Linked DNA regions of Canis lupus familiaris. The protein of the gene in region 2 purifies or fractionates together with the protein of the main gene of each other region. This does not show direct contact. Links are inferred from orthologs where the notes say so. Each region holds a gene or a part of one and is shown on either strand. Other genes may lie near its edges.

Region 1 (3,587 bases), on a different chromosome or scaffold from region 2:
TGAAATAATTTAAACAGTATTATAATTATAGGTCTCTTAAAAGGGTTAAAAGAATGGAATTTGAGTACTCTGTGATTAGCTCTCAAGGCATTAAAAAATTTTTTTTGATGTTGTCCACTTCGTTACATCTCTTCTGGATTCTTCAGTAATTTACAGTGTCCTAGAAAATTATTCATTTTATTCAGGCTTTCAAATTTACTAACAGAAATGTAAATTCTTCAAATTTCTTCTACATGTGTATGTCTGAACTTAATTGCCTTATTTTTTTATTAGGATAGTTGGTAGTTTATCTCATTGGACATGTCAAGAATTAGCACTTGGAGAATTTAAATTTTAAGAATTAAAGTTTTTTAAGAATAAAAAGTTAAAGAATTAAAAATTACTTTTAAATTCTACTGTAGTTTTCTAAGCCTTAATTTCTGTCCTTCTTATATAATTCCCTTCTTTCTGTTTGGCTAAGGTTTTTTGTTGTTGTACTTTTTCATTCTGAATTTGAATGCTTTATTCACTTATTTTCTGGAATAGGTTTTTTTTTTTTTGGAATAGGTTTTTAAAAAAAAATTTTTTTTTAAAGATTTTATGTATTTATTTGAGAAAGAGAGCATAAACAAGGGAAAAGGGGAGAGGGAGAGGGAGAAGTAGGCTCCTTGCTGAGCAGGGAGCCCCATGCAGGGCTCGATCCCAGAACCCCAGGATCATGACCTAAGCCAAAGGGAGATGTTTAACTGAATGAGCCACCCAGGCTCAGTGCCTTGGAATAGGCCTTGGAACAGGTATTTTGAAATGTAAAATTCTTTTGTGTGGCTTCTAGCTACCTACCTTTTCCAAGTTATAACTGTCTTCAGTTCGACTGTCTTCTGAGTTGTCTGTGTTCTTCTCATCATCCCCTTTATCTGCATTTGCAAATACAGAGGCCACTCGGACCACAGGCAAGGGCACATCCCGAGGGACAAACCTAACGGAGCTAATGGGCATGGTCCACAGTTTAATTTTCTTAAAAGATTTGGTTTTGGCAGAATACCGTGATTCACAGACAAAAACATCCTCATCTCGAAAGTTTTCTGGGCATAATTTAAAGTATTCCTGGGAGATATAAGAATAAGATTATTAGTTAGGTGCATTTTCTGAAAACCAGTTAACCAAAAAAACCAAAACCACACGTCAATCAAGCAAACGAACAAAAATAAACCGTTAAGACTTTCTGATAGTTAACAACAAATAGTAAATGGTTAGAGATGTACAAGCATTTCCCTGCTACAGAATGGCTTATTAAATACATATATCCTTTAGCTTACTAACTGCCCTTTTGAAAATATATTAGCATTTCATACAGCTTTATAATGTTCCTAAAAGCTTTGGATAGGGCTCAATGTGCCTGTATCAGATAGATACACAAAGTATACTTTGTTACCTAAAAAGCACACTGATAATTTTAAATGATCTTTCAGAAAATGTCATTCTCAAAAATTAGCCTGGCAATATAAAAAATTTTAAGCTAACCGCATATAGTTATATAGTGTAGGCAGCCAATGGTGGTCTTTCATCATCATGATCAGATTAATTTCTTCCCAAATCTTTACACACAGCTATATAGATACAGCTTAAAAAATTTTTTTGAAGATTTTTACAGAGCACCTAATTTGTAAATATTATTATTTTTTGTTTGAAAATGTTATTTTCATGGAATGATTTGTACTTTGGGGAATAATGAGTTTCTTACCTTGACAAACATGACCACACATTTTCCTAGAATTTTACTAACAGGAACTTTATTGTAATAGTCACTCTTAAAAACTTCTTTTTCTAGAAATTTTCGTGTAGCCAGATGGAATGTTTCATTTGGCCGATAAAACCAACAGCCATACAACCATTTTTCACCTCAAAAACAAAAAGGGGGAGAGAGGGAATTACCATTAATAGAAATCACACATTCTTTGCAAAATGAGCAAATTCTCCATCCATTCTGCCATGGCCTGAACATAATAACAATGTGCTTTTTAGGCCACAGTTTCTTAAAATATTTATCTTAAAGAAATGATACTTTAAAGTAATGAAGAATGATGAGGTCTAAAAAAAATACAACTTTCCCCCTCATATTAAAAGATGTATAATATACATGATGAATAAGGTGATGATACCTGCCCTACTCTGTTGTGGACAGGATACACACTCAGGGGAAGGAATACAAAGGTATTTCATGAGAAGCAGCTGAGGGAACTGGACTGCCTGAATCATATCTCTGCTCTGGCTTCATTAACTCCTATTTGTTCTCCATGTTCTAAATTAAAGGCAACTTTACTAGGACGCCTTTTTGAAATCAAATTCTAAGTCAAGGTCCATATCACACTATAATAATTTCCTTTTCATTTGTGATTTGTACCAGAGTGGTATTGCCAGAGGCAAAACATGAGTCCTTAGTTCCTGTGAGGCTCTGCCATCCTACAGTTTGGTTTACTGTGTGTTTTAAAGAAATACCCATTGAGTGAATGAATCTCAACCTCATTTCAGGAAGTTGTGCCTTTGACTCAACTGTGCCACTCACTGGCCCAAGAGTGCTAGATCCTATGTTTTTCATATAGAGGTTGCTAGGTTCTCTTTACCAATAATACACTGTAGAACAACTATTGTTGCAAGGAATAAAATGTCTGAGTTACAATTTTTTTCCCTGAGGACCGAGGAGGAGTAAAACAGTCACATGTCACCAGCGTGCCCTTTGATTGAAAACCAACTTACCAGCAGAATCTTCCCACAGCCTCTCAATGCAGACTATGTGTGGTTGCAGGCTGGCTTCTGCGGGCTCCACATACACGTAGTCTCCAACGTGGTACATGCTGTTCTTAAAGCTGCAGTCCTGGCTGTATGTGCGATGTAAGCCAGAGAGGCCTGTGGTGCCTGAGGAGTCTTCACTCTTTTCAGCTTCTTCGGTGAAAAAGACAAAAAGGCTCCCATTAAAGAGATATGGCAATCAGATGTAGGATTCAAACAACAGGGCAGCCCCGGTGGCTCAGCGGTTTAGTGCCGCCTTAAGTCCAGGGTGTGATCCTGGAGTTCCGGGATGGAGTCCCATGTCGGGCTCCCTGCATGGAGCCTGTTTCTCCCTCTGCCTCTCTCTCTCTGTCTCTCATGAATAAATAAATAAAATCTTAAAAAAAAAAAAAAGGATTCAAACAACACATACTAATATATTTCATTCTTTTCTAGACCTTCAAGGGCGAGATTCAGGACAAATAGCAGGATATCTGTATTCCCGAGAGCCTCTACTCAAAATTGCCTTTTTGAGTTACAACCAACCGCCCTCATTTAAATAAATACATAAATAAACAAAGGGTCTACACAATAAAAATAACCACGTTAATAATATATGCTCAATGCAGTCATTCCTGATGATAAACAAAGGTATAAAGAAGAAAACAGATTACCTGTAAAATCATGGAAATAATCTCATATATACTTCCTCTCCATCTTAAAGTCTCTAAATTTTTTTTTACCCTAACAGTTATTATATGGGTATGTCAAAATTAATGGAATCTTAGAATTAAGGAAATAGAGAACATGCGTATCATACAATATAATGTAAACTATATATA
Region 2 (3,354 bases):
CATTGCTCTGATGGTCAGGAAAATACCCATATTATTAAGAGAAATGTCTACAAAAGGGCAGTTACCTCCACAGGCTCCCCAGGTGCAGCATGCAGGCTCTGGAGTGAAAGAGGGAGGAGTCAGCAGCCATGATGTTTGGAACATGTTGTGCCCACTGGAGGGCGCCAGATGCACATGGCACAAAGCATGCAGCATCCCTAAGATGTCCTCTGGGGCAGGCGGCAGGTAGTGGGTGTGCAGGAAAGGGCTGGAGGCCCTAGGGCCAGCCACTTAACATGACCTCACTAAAAATTTAAGAGGCTTCCCAAGCCCTCCCAGCTCCTTGCAACCCTGACAGACCGCCTGGCCACAAAAACTACCCAGTTCCAGGTATTTTTAGTAATTGGTCCATCTGGTTCCACATCTCACGTGTCTGAAAACAGCTTCTGTCATCTTGCTTTTCCCTTAGATGCTTCTGACGAGCAGAATTCACAGTCTTCAATGGAAAACTCGATGAACAGTTCAGAGAAAGTAGAACGGCAGCCATCTGGAGACGCGGGTCTAGCTGCAGAGATGTCCGCAATCTCTCAGGTACCTCGATCGAGGCCTCAGAGGGGCAGCCAGATCAGCCAGGAGCCCGTTGGGGTGTTGGGGGTACGTTGAAAGGTGTTTTGTTATTTTGTTTTGTTGTTTTTTCCCTGTATCCATGGAGCAGGATTCGTGAGTATCCTGTGTCCGTCCTGGGCATTAGAGCTACAGCAAAGGCCAGGACACAGGGCCCAGCCCTCAGGGAGGAGGATATAGGAAGAGGAGGCATCCTCTTTCCCAGCCTCAGCTTTATCACTTTGTTTACCCAGGTCCACAAAAGCATTGCCTGCTCTAGTGACTTAAAGTCAACTTCCTTTATTGCTGGGACAATAAGTCTTCAGAATCCTAAATGCAAGATGAATCATGTTTTGGAATTTTGCAACTGACTGCACTGCCCCCTTGCTTCGACCCCGTTCTGGGTCATCACTGTTTGTCAGCATCTGGTCTGAATCAGACAGTGCAGGAACAGGTGGCTACTGGCTAGGAACAAACACCCTGGATTCGAATCCCAGCTCCTTAACTTAGCATAACCGAGCCTCCTTGTCTGCAACTGCCAAAATGGGATCATAGAAACTGTCTTGGGGCCAGAGCACAGATGGGATGAGAGAATACAGCTAACACACTTGGTGTGGAGCTGGACACGGGAATGCCCCAGATGCCATCATTGTGATTTTTCACTATCAACCCTCTGGGCTCACCTAAAATGAGTAGTTTGGGGACCCCGAGGTGTCAAAACTTCAACTAATAAAACGATCTTCTAGTACCTCAGGAGAAACTGACAAAAAGTAGCAGCAGAAAGGTTGGAAGAGGCAGAGGGTGGCAGGATGTGGTCTGCACTTTGCAGAGCCGTAAGCCAGGCCTCCCCCAAGGGGAAGTGCCTCCTGGACTCTAATGTCTCTATCCCCTTACCTGCAGGACACTCCTCCAAATGACCAAAGACACAGGAGTGTTGATGGAAGATATGTTTGCAGTGGCAGGAAATTGGCCACAACCTAAGTTTGTCGAAAGGGGACTGGTTAAATAATCTGTGGTCGTGGATGAAACAGATGGGTGTGCAGCTGTTAAAAAGGGTGTGGTTGACCCAGGTACAGACAGTAAAGAATTATCCTCACAATGTGAAATGAGGAAAGCAAGACCTAGAACCTCAGGCATAGCATGAGCCCACTTGATTAAAAATCAAAGCCTTGGGATCCCTGGGTGGCGCAGCGGTTTAGTGCCTGCCTTTGGCCCAGGGCATGATCCTGGAGACCGGGGATCAAATCCCACGTCGGGCTCCTGGTACATGGAGCCTGCTTCTCCCTCTGCCTGTGTCTCGGCCTCTCTCTCTCTCACTGTGTGCCTATCATAAATAAATAAAAATTAAAAAAAAAAAAAAAAGGATCTCAATCCCTAAAAAAAAAAAAAAAATCAAAGCCTTGTGTATAGTTTGTAAAAACCAGGGTGTCTGCTGGGATCTCCTGGCCTTCCAAACTCAGTTTTGTTTTGTTTTGTTTTGTTTTGTTTTTTCAACTTAGCTTGAAACTTTGATCCATACCCTGGCGGCATCTAGTGTTACCCCCCGCCCTGCCCCACCCCTCAGATATCTGAAAGGTACAGGGCTCTTACATTCTAACATGCCCCCAACCTCCAGTCCCATTTCCAGGGGACCCAGACCTGAAATGGAGCCTCTTCCACTGTTCTCATGTATACACAGACACAAATATTCGTCCACAGAGCTCCCAGGTCTATGAGCAAAGTGGAGGAGGATGCATTTTAGTTAAGCAACTCGACATTGACATTTGGCCATTCCTGTGTTTAAAAAAAAAAAAAGCTTCCCCAACCTCCCAACAGGAGGAATACTCTGGCTGTTCTCTGTATTCAACTGTCCTGAGCTTGTAGCTCCTCTCTTTTGTTCCCCTTTCTGTTTCTCCGTCCTCTTCTGTACCTTCTGGTACGCAGAGCAGTTCACCTCTCTGCAGGCTCCACTCCCAAGCTCACATGCTGTCCTCCCATCCAAGTGCTCTACAGAACCAAAGGCCTCCTCTCCATTGGGACCCAGCATCCTCTGAAGAAGGCACAGTACCTGCTTTGTCCTGTCATGACCACATTGAGCTTTCATCACTTTCAGAATGAGAAGAAGGGAGAACACAGAGGCGGCTCTTACAGCCTCTCTATGATGCCTCAGGGTCTGCCACAAGAAGCTCATACGCAGCCCACATCAAGGCACTGGGGTCTCTATATTAAACATACACTGGGTACCCATAGTGGACCAGGCCCTGTGTTAGATACTAGGGACCCAGGATGAGCCAGAGATGGGGTCCCTCCCTGCCCTCATGGGGCTCATGATGTGGTGGGTGAGGAAGAGACACAGCCAGGATATAGCAGGGACAAGCAGATGACAAGGTCATAGCACGTGCTCCAGAAAAACCAAGATGAGGATGAAAGGAGGCCTGACAGTGGAACATTGTTTGGGCTGGTGTAGGCAGAGAAATGGGCTGTGAGCAGGAATTTGAAGGATGAGAATACAGGGCCATGAGAGCAGGCTTTCTGGACAGAGGGAACCAGAGGTTTGGGCCTGGAAATAGGAACAAGCCTGAGAACAAAAAGGAAGGCCAGGGGTCTGGGTCTAGAAGGCAAGGAAGAGAACAACCAGTTGGGTGCCGGGTCTTCTCAGCCTGGTAAGGAGCTGGCATTTTGCTCTGAAGTCAGTGGGAAAGCATCAGTGGGTTTTATGTTCTGTGTTTGTTTCTATTTGGGGATTTCTTGAACTATGTTGAAAGCTGCCTAGGGACTGCATGGAGCAGGATG
Region 3 (3,587 bases), on a different chromosome or scaffold from region 2:
ATGCCACCTTGGCCAGGAGGAGCGGGGTGACCTTGGCTAGGTCGCTTTTCTCCTTGAGCTGCGGTTCCCTCATCTGTCAAGTGGGGTTGGAAGGACCCCCTCCGTCCGGTCCGTCTTGCAGAGGAGAATGTGGTTGTGAACATCCTTTGAAAAGGTTGAAAGGCGCCATTAATATTCATTTTCGCGGTACCTTCCGCAAATCCGAGGCTGGCAGTGCCCAGTGCAGTTGCCTGGCTTCAGTTAGCTTCCTGCGGCGAGACGCAGAGCCCCCTCCGCCCAGCCGCGCGGTGGCGGCGCCCCTGCCCCTCCCACCCCTCGCTCACGCGGGCGGCATCAGGGTCACCGGCCGGGGGGGCGGGGGGGGGCGCGGGGTGGGAGACACGCGGCTCTGCGCGCCCGGAACCGGGGCCCTGAGCTGACCGGCGGGCGCCTGTTTCTGCCTCACCTCCGCCCCTCGCCCCCCCTCCCCGCCCCCCAGCGCCCCGGGATGCCGTCTGGAGCCCGGATGCCCCACCAGGGGGCGCCCATGGGCCCCCCGGGCTCCCCGTACATGGGCAGCCCCGCCGTGCGACCCGGCCTGGCCCCCGCGGGCATGGAGCCCGCCCGCAAGCGAGCAGCGCCCCCGCCCGGCCAGAGCCAGGCCCAGAGCCAGGGCCAGCCGGTGCCCACCGCCCCCGCGCGGAGCCGCAGGTGAGTGGGGCCCAGCGCGGAGGGGGCGGGCCACGCGACCCCAGGGACGGGGTGGCTGAGCAGCGAGCCTAGAAGGAGCAGGGAGGGAGGATCGGCCGGGAACGAGCCGTCCTGGGTGGGATGCCCTCTGGGGAGGTGGGCCGAGGGGGCACTGGTCCGGTTCCTTTGTGTGCCCACCGTAGAGACTGAGGCTGCGGCCGTCGCGCCCTTCTCCTTGTCACCTGCTCGCTCCTTCTCTCCACCCCTCGTCCCCAGGTTCTGGGAGATGCTTCCGTCTTTGGGGTGGGGGTGGGGGTGGGGCTGGCAGGAGGGCCGAGGGCTGAGCTTCAGGGATTGTGTTTCTCAAAGTGTGGCTGTCCAGTGCACCGTCCCCAGTCCCCTGGCTTGACTGTTTTAAAAGCCCCACTCGAGATAGTCTAAATCTGACTCTCTGGCCAGGGGGGTGGAGTCTGGGGATGTGCCCTGTGGGTGGGTGGTCTCCATAACGGTCCTGCTCTCAGGTAGTTCTTAGGCACTTAGAGGTTAAAGAGCTGCCCTAATCTGTCTTCTGGACCAGGTCTGCCCCCAGGAGCCACCAGGGGCCAGCCCATTTCCCTGTCTGAGCCAGCTGGTGGCACCCCAAAAGCCCCTGCTGGTGTCTGGCAAGAGAGATGCCCCTCTGGGTTTCACTATTTAACCAAACACACATGCTTCCCTTTGCACACCAGATGGAGTCCTATAAAAGGAGTAATATGGATTTTACCTCATTATTAAATATTTTTTACACATCAAGGAAAATTCACCATTTATAGGAATCCCATGATGAATTCTTTTGCAAAGTGAATCATCTTTTTATACAGTAAACATGTTCCTGATTTGTCTTGTATAGATGGAGAGTTTCACACAGATAATTTCTTCAAAACAAATCAGACCTTTCAGGAAAGATGCTTACCTAGCCTTAGAATAGGCTTTTGGACAGGAGGGGGCAGTGGTTACCACCACACAGGGATGGTACAGAGCCATGCCCCAGGCTGGGTGCTAATCTCAACTGGCCAAGGATTTTCTGGGGTGCTTTTGGGAATCAGAAGCAGCTAGCAGATCAAGAAGAGTTCAAGTCCCAGCTGCCACCTCAAGTCCAGTCTGCAGTCACACCCTGCAGGACATCCCTCTCTCTGGATCCCTACGGGTGTGTTTCTGGACCCTGTTGGCAGGTGATCCCATAGCCTGTCAGCATCCTCTTCCAACCCCGGGTTGCCAGGGGTGCAAGTCCTCACCAGCTTCACCCATCACCTCCTGCTCCAGGGATGGGAGAGGTTGTTGGCTCTGCTTCCCGCTGAGCTCAGGCCACCTCAGGCTGTACACCCCTGCTTAACAGAAAGGGAAAGTCCTCAGAATCCCTCCTCCCTCCCCTCTGTCCTCCCTCTCCCTAGCTTTTCTCAAACACTTTTGCAGCTCCCCCACCCCCCTCACCCCTTCTAAGTCTAAATTTCTCTGGCCTGAGGGTGTGGTGGGGTAGAAAGGGGCTCCCAGACTAAATAAAGGATGGGGCCACATCTGCTCCCCACAAGAGGACATAGCGCCATGCCAGACACCACTGCCGTTGCCCCTTGGGCGGGCAGACAAGCGGGCTGTGGGAACCCCAGCCAGGCGGGTGGAGATGTCGGGATAATTTAGCAGGTGGCCTCGTTACTCCCAGATCTGTCGCCATGGTAACCTGGTTTTTTCTTTAAAAAATGTACAGTGCCAAGAGGAGGAAGATGGCTGACAAAATCCTCCCTCAAAGGGTGAGTGCCTTTCACAGCAGCCCCCAGCCCACCCCCCACCCTTTGCTGCTCTGCCTCCTCCCCCTCTACCCCACCACCCTGGGCCGCTTCCCCTCCCCCCTCAGTAGCAGAGCTTCAGTGTCACAGCCACTTTCACTTTTTGTTTAAAAAGCTAATTAAGAAGTGGGGCTCCCTGGCCAGAGGGAGGGAGTAGGGCAGAGGGAAGGAGCGAAGGAGCCATAAGAGGTAGGGTCTTGCGCCCGGGTGCAGTGGACTGAGCTCCAGGGGACCCAAGACTGGCAGGGGAACTGAAGCCGGCCAGAAGGCCTGGATGTCATAAGTGAAGCCAGGCTGAGCTAGATGTTGGGGTGGGGGGTACTGCAGCTGAGAAGGTAGGTGGAGTGACAAAGTAGGATGCCAGGGTAGAGGCAAGCAGCGACATCCTCGGTCTCAGGCACTCCAGGGTCCTAGCCACTTTGCAGACACCCAAGGGAGGTTCAGAGGCCGTATGACAAGGGAAAGGACAAGATGAGGAGGTGAAGCCCAGTTCCTGGGCTCCGTGGCTGCCAGGGCCTCCCGTGGCGATAATACGCACAGAAACCCCTAGAGGAAGAAGTAGCTTTTATCCCCACATGTGGAGGTCCTTTCTGCTGGATATGCAGTCCTGGGGAGAAGTCCCCATTTGCACTCTCCGAGTTCCATGCCCCGAACCTGGCCAGTTCCCCGCTATGCTTTTTGTACCCTGGGACTGCATGAGGCGCACATTCCACCCACAAGATTGGCTGAGCCCCAGGTTCCCTGCCTTGCTCCTTCTCTTCCAGATCCGGGAGCTGGTCCCCGAGTCCCAGGCTTATATGGACCTGCTGGCGTTTGAGAGGAAACTGGATCAAACCATCATGCGGAAGCGGGTGGACATCCAGGAGGCTCTGAAGAGGCCAATGAAGGTGTCTTGATTTGGGGGCATGAAGAGGTCTCTAGGTCCTGTTCCAGGAATGGAAAAGTGGGACTGCCCCGGGAATGGGAGCACACAGTGTTTGCTCTTGTACTATATTCTTTATTTCTACAGCAAAAGCGGAAGCTGCGTCTTTATATCTCCAATACTTTTAACCCTGCGAAGCCTGATGCTGAAGATTCCGATGGCAGCATTGCCTCCTG
Region 4 (3,587 bases), on a different chromosome or scaffold from region 2:
TGCTAATAACATGAGATAGTCAAATTTGATTGACAGGCATAAATATTACCTTATGATACATTGCCTTCAAGTAGTTTTACTATATTTAAATATGAACTCTACTGTAATATATTGCGTAATGCCATTTATTTTTCTCCTTTTTAGGCTAAATGCTCATTTTGAAGTAAATCCAGACTGTTCTGTCTCTCGAGCAGAGATGTATTCTGAGTACCTCTCAACGTGCAGTAAATTAGCTCGTGGTGGAATCCTAACTTCAACTGGATTTTATAAATGTCTTAGGTAGGATGTTTAGTTATTAACTTTAAACAAAGTTAATTTGAATCACCTAGAATATCTCTTGCTCTTTGGGGAAAATACCAACTATCTATCTACTTTTAAATATTTCTACTACTTGAAATTTCATATAGGCTATGTTGTAATAAGATGGAAATTTAAATACAAGGAGATTTTTGGAAATCAAACCTCATGTTTGTGTTTAAACATTATGAGGCTTATCAAAGAAAGAGAAGGGAAAAACTTCTTTCTACCCACTGAAATATGTTAGAGACATGACTTTTGCCCTTTTTATCTTGAATAATAGTCTACAACTAATACTCTTATCTTCAAATATCAAGGCTTTTGATATTTTGCAAAAGTTCATAAAATAGACATTGCCTAGATGCAGCTTCTTTGTTCATTAGATATGGTATAGAATTATTTAAAACCCAACAATGTTAATAATGATTTTAAAAATTGGGAAATTGATCTTTTATATTTTTTCTTTGCTTCCCACCCTTACAGAATAGATCTATATGAATCATACTGGTTCGTATTAGTAGCAGTAACTATCCTGCTACTGTTCATGTAAACATTGTTTGAAATGTTTTTTGCTCGTTTGCTAGTTTATAAAACTAAGTTATGTGTGTACTTTACAGAACGGTCTTTCCAAATCATACAGTGAAGAGAGTGGAGGATTCCAGTAGCAACGGGCAGGCACATATTCATGTAGTAGGAGTAAAAAGGAGGGCTATACCACTTCCCATTCAGATGTACTATCAGCAGCAACCAGTTTCTACTCCTGTTGTTCGTGTTGATTCTGTTCCTGATGTATCTCCAAGTCCTTCACCTGCAGGTATTAATTTTTGAGTTTTTAAGTATTACTAACTTAACAAACAAAATGAAACAGTATATTATATAAATTTAAAATGAATAATTTTTCCTTGTTTTTCCAGTTGCATTTTGCTTATTCTGTTACTTTTATCATATTCATATGATGCAGAGGTGTTAAATGTTAATTTCTTAAAAGGATTTTTCTTTTGTATTAAGTAAAGCAATGCCTACATTCAGCTTTTCAGTCCTTTCCTTATGAATTTTGACCTTTCCCTCATATTTTCAGGAATCCCTCATGGACCACAAACTGTAGGAAACCATTTTCAGAGGACTTCTGTTACCAACCAGTCTTCAAATTTGACTGCAACACAAATGTCTTTTCCAGTACAAGGTGTTCATACTGTGGCACAGACTGTTTCCAGAATTCCACCAAATCCTGCAGTTCATACCCACCAGCAGCAAAATGCTCCAGTGACTGTCATTCAAAATAAAGCTCCAATTCCTTGTGAAGTTGTTAAGGCTACAGTAATCCAGAATTCTATATCCCAGACAGCAGTTCCTGTTAGCATTGCTGTGGGAGGTGGAGCTGCTCAGAGTTCTGTGGTTCAGAATCACAGTACAGGGCCACAACCTGTTACGGTTGTAAATTCCCAGACATTGCTTCATCATCCATCTGTAATTCCACAACAGTCTCCATTACACACAGTGGTACCAGGACAGATACCTTCCGGCACTCCTGTTACAGTAATTCAACAAGCTGTCCCACAGAGTCATATATTTGGCAGAGTACAGAACATACCAGCATGTACTTCTTCAGTATCACAGGGTCAACAGTTAATCACCACATCACCCCAACCTGTGCAAACTTCATCTCAACAGACGTCAGCTGGTAGCCAGCCGCAAGACACTGTTATCATAGCACCTTCACAGTATGTAACAACTTCTGCATCCAATATTGTCTCAGCAACTTCAGTACAGAATTTTCAGGTAGCTACGGGACAAATGGTTACCATTGCTGGTGTCCCAAGTCCACAACCCTCAAGGGTAGGGTTTCAGAACATTGCACCAAAACCTCTCCCTTCTCAGCAAGTTTCATCAACAGTGGTACAACAGCCCATTCAACAACCACAGCAGCCAACCCAACAGAGTGTAGTGATTGTAAGCCAGCCAGCTCAACAAGGTCAGACTTATGCACCAGCCATTCACCAAATTGTTCTTGCTAATCCAGCAGCTCTTCCAGCTGGTCAGACAGTTCAGTTAACTGGGCAACCAAACATAACTCCATCTTCCTCACCATCACCTGTCCCAGCTACTAATAACCAAGTTCCTACTGCCATGTCATCATCTTCCACCCCTCAATCACAGGGACCACCTCCTACCGTCAGTCAGATGCTATCTGTGAAAAGGCAGCAACAGCAGCAGCATTCACCAGCACCCTCACCGCAACAGGTACAAGTACAGGTTCAGCAGCCCCAACAAGTACAGATGCAAGTTCAGCCACAGCAAGCGAATGCAGGCGTTGGTCAGCCTGCTTCTGGTGAGTCAAGTCTGATAAAACAGTTGCTGCTTCCAAAGCGTGGCCCTTCGACACCGGGTGGTAAGCTAATTCTCCCAGCTCCACAGATTCCTCCCCCTAATAACGCGAGAGCTCCCAGCCCTCAGGTGGTATACCAGGTGGCCAATAACCAAGCAGCAGGTTTTGGAGTGCAGGGGCAGTCTTCAGCTCAGCAGCTGTTGGTTGGGCAGCAAAATGTTCAGTTGGTACAAAGTGCAATGCCACCCACAGGCGGAGTGCAAACTGTACCTATCTCGAACTTACAAATATTACCAGGCCCACTGATTTCAAACAGCCCAGCAACCATTTTCCAAGGGACTTCTGGCAACCAGGTAACCATAACAGTTGTGCCAAATACAAGTTTTGCAACTGCAACTGTGAGTCAGGGAAATGCAACTCAGCTCATTGCTCCAGCAGGAATTACCATGAGTGGGACACAGGCAGGAGTTGGACTTCAGGTGCAAACGCTTCCAGCCACTCAGACATCTCCAGCTGGACAATCATCCTGTACTACTGCTACTCCCCCATTCAAAGGTGATAAGATAATTTGCCAAAAGGAGGAGGAAGCAAAAGAAGCAACAGGTTTACATGTTCACGAACGTAAAATTGAAGTAATGGAGAACCCGTCCTGCCGGCGAGGAACCACGAACACCAGCAATGGGGATACAAAGGAAAATGAAATGCAGGTGGGAAGTCTTTTAAATGGGAGAAAGTACAGTGACTCAAGTCTACCTCCTTCAAACTCAGGGAAAATTCAAAGTGAGGCTAATCAGTGCTCACTAATCAGTAATGGGCCATCGTTAGAATTAGGTGAGAATGGAACATCTGGAAAACAGAACTTGGAACAAATGGACATGCCGGATATCAAAAGTGATTTGAAAAAACCTCTAGTTAATGGAATCTGTGATTTTGATAAGGGAGATGGTTCTCATTTAAGCAAAAA
Region 5 (3,587 bases), on a different chromosome or scaffold from region 2:
CCTCTGCCCTCAGTTTATTTAAGATTGATTGTATATGTAAATACGAATCACTGTAGTTAAAGTTCCAATATTAACATGCTTGTTAAACCCTGAGGATGAGGGATCCCTGGGTGGCGCAGCGTTTGGCGCCTGCCTTTGGCCCAGGGCGCGATCCTGGAGACCCGGGATCGAATCCCACGTCAGCCTCCCGGTGCATGGAGTCTGCTTCTCCTCTGCCTATGTCTCTGCCTCTCTCTCTTACTGTGTGCCTATCATAAATTAAAAAAAAAAAAAAAAAACCTTGGAAGATGAGATTGCTTCTATATACATGCTTCGTAGAACCAGGTTAACTCCTGGCACTGTGTAGTTTTCCAGCTTTTTGAAGCACTTAAAGGTTTGCCCTTGATTTAGATTTCAAACTGAGTCTTTTGAGTATAAGAAGGTTCTTTCCTATATAATTTGATGGTGTGAGGGGCGCTTGGGTGGCTCAGTTGGTTAAGCATCTGCCTTTAGCCCAGATCATGATCCCAGGGTCCTGGGTTGGAGCCCTGAGTCGGGCTCCCTGCTCCCTGCCACTCGCCCTGCTTGTGTTCTCTTGTGGGTGTGTGTGGGTGTGTCAAATAAATAAATAAAAATCTTAAAAAAAAAAATAATTTGATAGTGTGAGAATGGAAAAGGGCCTAGGATGGGCCTCTCTGAGCAAACAGGGTTTACATCACTCTGATAGTACTCAGTGAAAAAGTAGGCTTCAAGGAAGTTCAGGTATTTTCAGATGTTTTCCATTGACTTTAAAATTAGCATATAGAAAAAATTTTTTTAAATTTAGCATATAGAATTAATTAGTTGGCTAAATACAAGTTTCCCCCCACTTCCAAACAAGTAGAGTGTTCATATGAAACTGTTTATAAGCCAACATGGCATAAAGCAAAGAAGCAATTACCACTTCTTAAAAGTGACAATCGGGCAGCCTCAGTGGCTCAGGGGTTTAGCACCACCTTCACCCCAGGGCGTGATCCTGGAGACCCGGGATCAAGTCCCGCATCAGGCTCCCTGCGTGGAGCCTGCTTCTCCCTCTGCCTGTCTCTGCCTCTCTCTCCCTCTGTTTCTCATGAATAAATAAATAAAAACCTTTTAAAAAAATAAAAGTGAAAATCCTCTCTGGATCTTTTGGTTAGTGAAAACAGATACTAATGTAGGTCTTTTGTAAAAGCGAAGTGACATAAAGTAAATATGTCAGATAAGTAAATATGTCAGGTAGTAGGAGAAACCTGTACCTAGTTTAAAATTCAAAAGACATAAAATAGCATATAGGAAAAATTCCCCCCAGTCGCCCCGTCTTCCTTTCTAGAGGCCTACAGTTTCTTTTCGCCTCTCGTTACATAAATGGTAGCATCCTAATACACTTCTCAGCCTTGTACCTTCCTTTTTTTCCCCTAGTCACCTTGGAAATTGTTTTATGTCTGCACATGAAGAGCTTCCTTCTTTTTTTAATGGCTAAACAATTTCATTGTGTAAAGATGTGCTATAGTTTGTTAAATATATTTAGAAAGCCCCACCATCCCCACCCCCAGAACTTGAACTCTTACTCATTTGTGATAAAACTAACCTCTGCTTCTTAGAGTCATGAGGGTTCAGAGAAACAGCATCTTGACTAGCACAGGGCTGGACTCAAGAGGCACAGAATGAACATTAGTTTCTCTCTCCCTCTTTGTGGGTTAGGCTTAAGTTTGAGTAGACACATGAGAGATCATGTTCCTGAAGGTAATTTATTTATAAAGTTCCTTTCCTCATAATGACTTAGTAAAGGAGCACAGTGTCCCATGAGGCAGAAATGGAGGCAAATAGGACCAAAGCCACAGTCTCCCGGTCCCTTGAGCCTTCCAAAGAAGCAGATGGCAAGGGAAAGGGGTAGCTCAGCACCCTGTGCTCCACCCTGCCCCAACATACACACACCTGATGTTTGTCTCTCCTGCAGCCTTGGGGAGCAGTACTACAAAGATGCCATGGAGCAGTGCCACAATTATAATGCCCGCCTCTGTGCTGAGCGCAGTGTGCGCCTTCCTTTCTTGGACTCACAGACTGGAGTAGCCCAGAGCAACTGTTATATCTGGATGGAAAAGCGGCACCGGGGTCCAGGTGAGGGTTCAGGCTCAGGAGCACAAGGAAGGAAGAAGCTTCTTTATCTTAAGTGATTAGTCAGCTGAGACGGTTTTCCTTACTGCATTCCACCCATGAGTGAATACGGTCTTGCCTTGATTACAATCCCAGGGAGGATGAAGCAGACAGGTTCATAACAGCATCTTTGTTTTCTGCAGGGCTACCCTACTAAAGCTGTCGTTGGGCTTCTGGGGAGCTATGTGTTAACCAAGGCCCCTGAGCTTACATCTGTTTTTCTTTTCCATAAACTGTCCCTCCTACCCTCAGGCCTTCACTGACCATATTCCTCCCTCACTCTAGAACATGGTGGGCAGGAGGGGATGGGGAGAGAGTGCTACTCCCCTAGAAAGTGTTTGATATTATTACCTAGGACTCGATTAGAGCTTGACTTTTCTCTCTTTTCTGTATTTCCACAGGATTGGCCTCTGGGCAGCTATACTCCTACCCTGCTCGGCGCTGGCGGAAAAAGCGGCGAGCCCACCCTCCTGAGGATCCAAGACTTTCTTTCCCGTCTATTAAACCAGGTAAAGCACGCCCCTCCTTGAGCAGGGGTAGGACCTGCTGCATGTAAAAGGCCTGTTATTCACCTGTTCTGTACCAGGCCCAATGCTAGATGCCGAATATGCTAAAATGAATGAGATGTCATTCCTTCCTTTAAAGAACTCAGTCTAAAAAAAAAAAAAGAACTCAGTCTAATAGAGGAGACAGGTAAACAGGTAAGTTGCAATGCCGAGTGTATTGAGTGTATTGGGGTGTCTTCGTTCCTGGGCAATCAGAGACCAAAAGACAGTTACTGGCCCATGGCTGGCCTAGCACTGTGTAGACCCAAAGCGGTCTGCTTTCAGCCCTTCTGAGTCTCGCCTCATCCTGATCTTGCCTACAGACACAGACCAGACCCTGAAGAAAGAGGGGCTGATCTCTCAAGACGGCAGTAGTTTAGAAGCTCTATTGCGCACCGACCCCCTGGAGAAGCGAGGTGCCCCAGATCCCCGAGTGGATGATGACAGCCTGGGCGAGTTTCCTGTGACCAACAGTCGAGCACGGAAGGTACAAGATGAATGCTGTGGCTAAGGGAGCTTTGATGGAAACCAGCCTCCTCTTCATGAGAGGTCACCCAGTCAGTAATCAGAATGGATGCAAAAGCTTTGGGCCAGGTGGCAGGCCCCTGGGGTTCTGTTCCTGCTCAATCTCTAATTAGCACTGGATACTGACTGGCTTCACAATTAGCATCCAGTTTTTCCTATTCCTTTCCTTCTAAGTGGAGACTCTCTCTCATTCATCTTCTTTTGTCACAGATGTTTTTTGGTGCCTGGGATTACATGGGTGAAGCAGACCGGGTCCCTACCAACAGGGAAGATAAAACTATACACAAAAATAACAAGAGCTAAAAATATGATAGGCACTGCACTAAGTGCTTTTCCATCATATTCTCTAGTCTCTACAACCTTGTC

Evidence for each region. The genes of interacting proteins can lie anywhere in the genome.
Region 1: the proteins of BCL7A (region 2) and PBRM1 purify together in Homo sapiens (affinity purification with mass spectrometry; 3 studies listed by BioGRID and IntAct, counting the BioPlex papers as one, with this or other methods). This does not show direct contact. The link is inferred for Canis lupus familiaris from reciprocal best matches to the Homo sapiens genes BCL7A and PBRM1.
Region 3: the proteins of BCL7A (region 2) and SMARCD3 purify together in Homo sapiens (affinity purification with mass spectrometry; 4 studies listed by BioGRID and IntAct, counting the BioPlex papers as one, with this or other methods). This does not show direct contact. The link is inferred for Canis lupus familiaris from reciprocal best matches to the Homo sapiens genes BCL7A and SMARCD3.
Region 4: the proteins of BCL7A (region 2) and ARID2 purify together in Homo sapiens (affinity purification with mass spectrometry; 3 studies listed by BioGRID and IntAct, counting the BioPlex papers as one, with this or other methods). This does not show direct contact. The link is inferred for Canis lupus familiaris from reciprocal best matches to the Homo sapiens genes BCL7A and ARID2.
Region 5: the proteins of BCL7A (region 2) and DPF2 purify together in Homo sapiens (affinity purification with mass spectrometry; 3 studies listed by BioGRID and IntAct, counting the BioPlex papers as one, with this or other methods). This does not show direct contact. The link is inferred for Canis lupus familiaris from reciprocal best matches to the Homo sapiens genes BCL7A and DPF2.

The regions. Positions count from the first base shown.
Region 1 is NC_049241.1:37,590,980-37,594,566, reverse strand, and holds part of PBRM1 (protein polybromo-1), read right to left. Parts: intron 2,920-3,587; coding exon 2,734-2,919; intron 1,879-2,733; coding exon 1,721-1,878; intron 1,084-1,720; coding exon 820-1,083; intron 1-819. UniProt on the Homo sapiens protein: Involved in transcriptional activation and repression of select genes by chromatin remodeling (alteration of DNA-nucleosome topology). Required for the stability of the SWI/SNF chromatin remodeling complex SWI/SNF-B (PBAF).
Region 2 is NC_049247.1:7,498,516-7,501,869, reverse strand, and holds part of BCL7A (B-cell CLL/lymphoma 7 protein family member A), read left to right. Parts: intron 1-448; coding exon 449-633; intron 634-3,354.
Region 3 is NC_049237.1:16,009,402-16,012,988, reverse strand, and holds part of SMARCD3 (SWI/SNF-related matrix-associated actin-dependent regulator of chromatin subfamily D member 3), read left to right. Parts: intron 1-478; coding exon 479-690; intron 691-2,410; coding exon 2,411-2,453; intron 2,454-3,253; coding exon 3,254-3,376; intron 3,377-3,498; coding exon 3,499-3,587. UniProt on the Homo sapiens protein: Involved in transcriptional activation and repression of select genes by chromatin remodeling (alteration of DNA-nucleosome topology).
Region 4 is NC_049248.1:38,086,904-38,090,490, forward strand, and holds part of ARID2 (AT-rich interactive domain-containing protein 2), read left to right. Parts: intron 1-144; coding exon 145-279; intron 280-914; coding exon 915-1,111; intron 1,112-1,375; coding exon 1,376-3,587. UniProt on the Homo sapiens protein: Involved in transcriptional activation and repression of select genes by chromatin remodeling (alteration of DNA-nucleosome topology). Required for the stability of the SWI/SNF chromatin remodeling complex SWI/SNF-B (PBAF).
Region 5 is NC_049239.1:52,345,463-52,349,049, reverse strand, and holds part of DPF2 (zinc finger protein ubi-d4), read left to right. Parts: intron 1-1,954; coding exon 1,955-2,115; intron 2,116-2,552; coding exon 2,553-2,660; intron 2,661-3,019; coding exon 3,020-3,183; intron 3,184-3,587. UniProt on the Homo sapiens protein: Plays an active role in transcriptional regulation by binding modified histones H3 and H4. Is a negative regulator of myeloid differentiation of hematopoietic progenitor cells. Might also have a role in the development and maturation of lymphoid cells.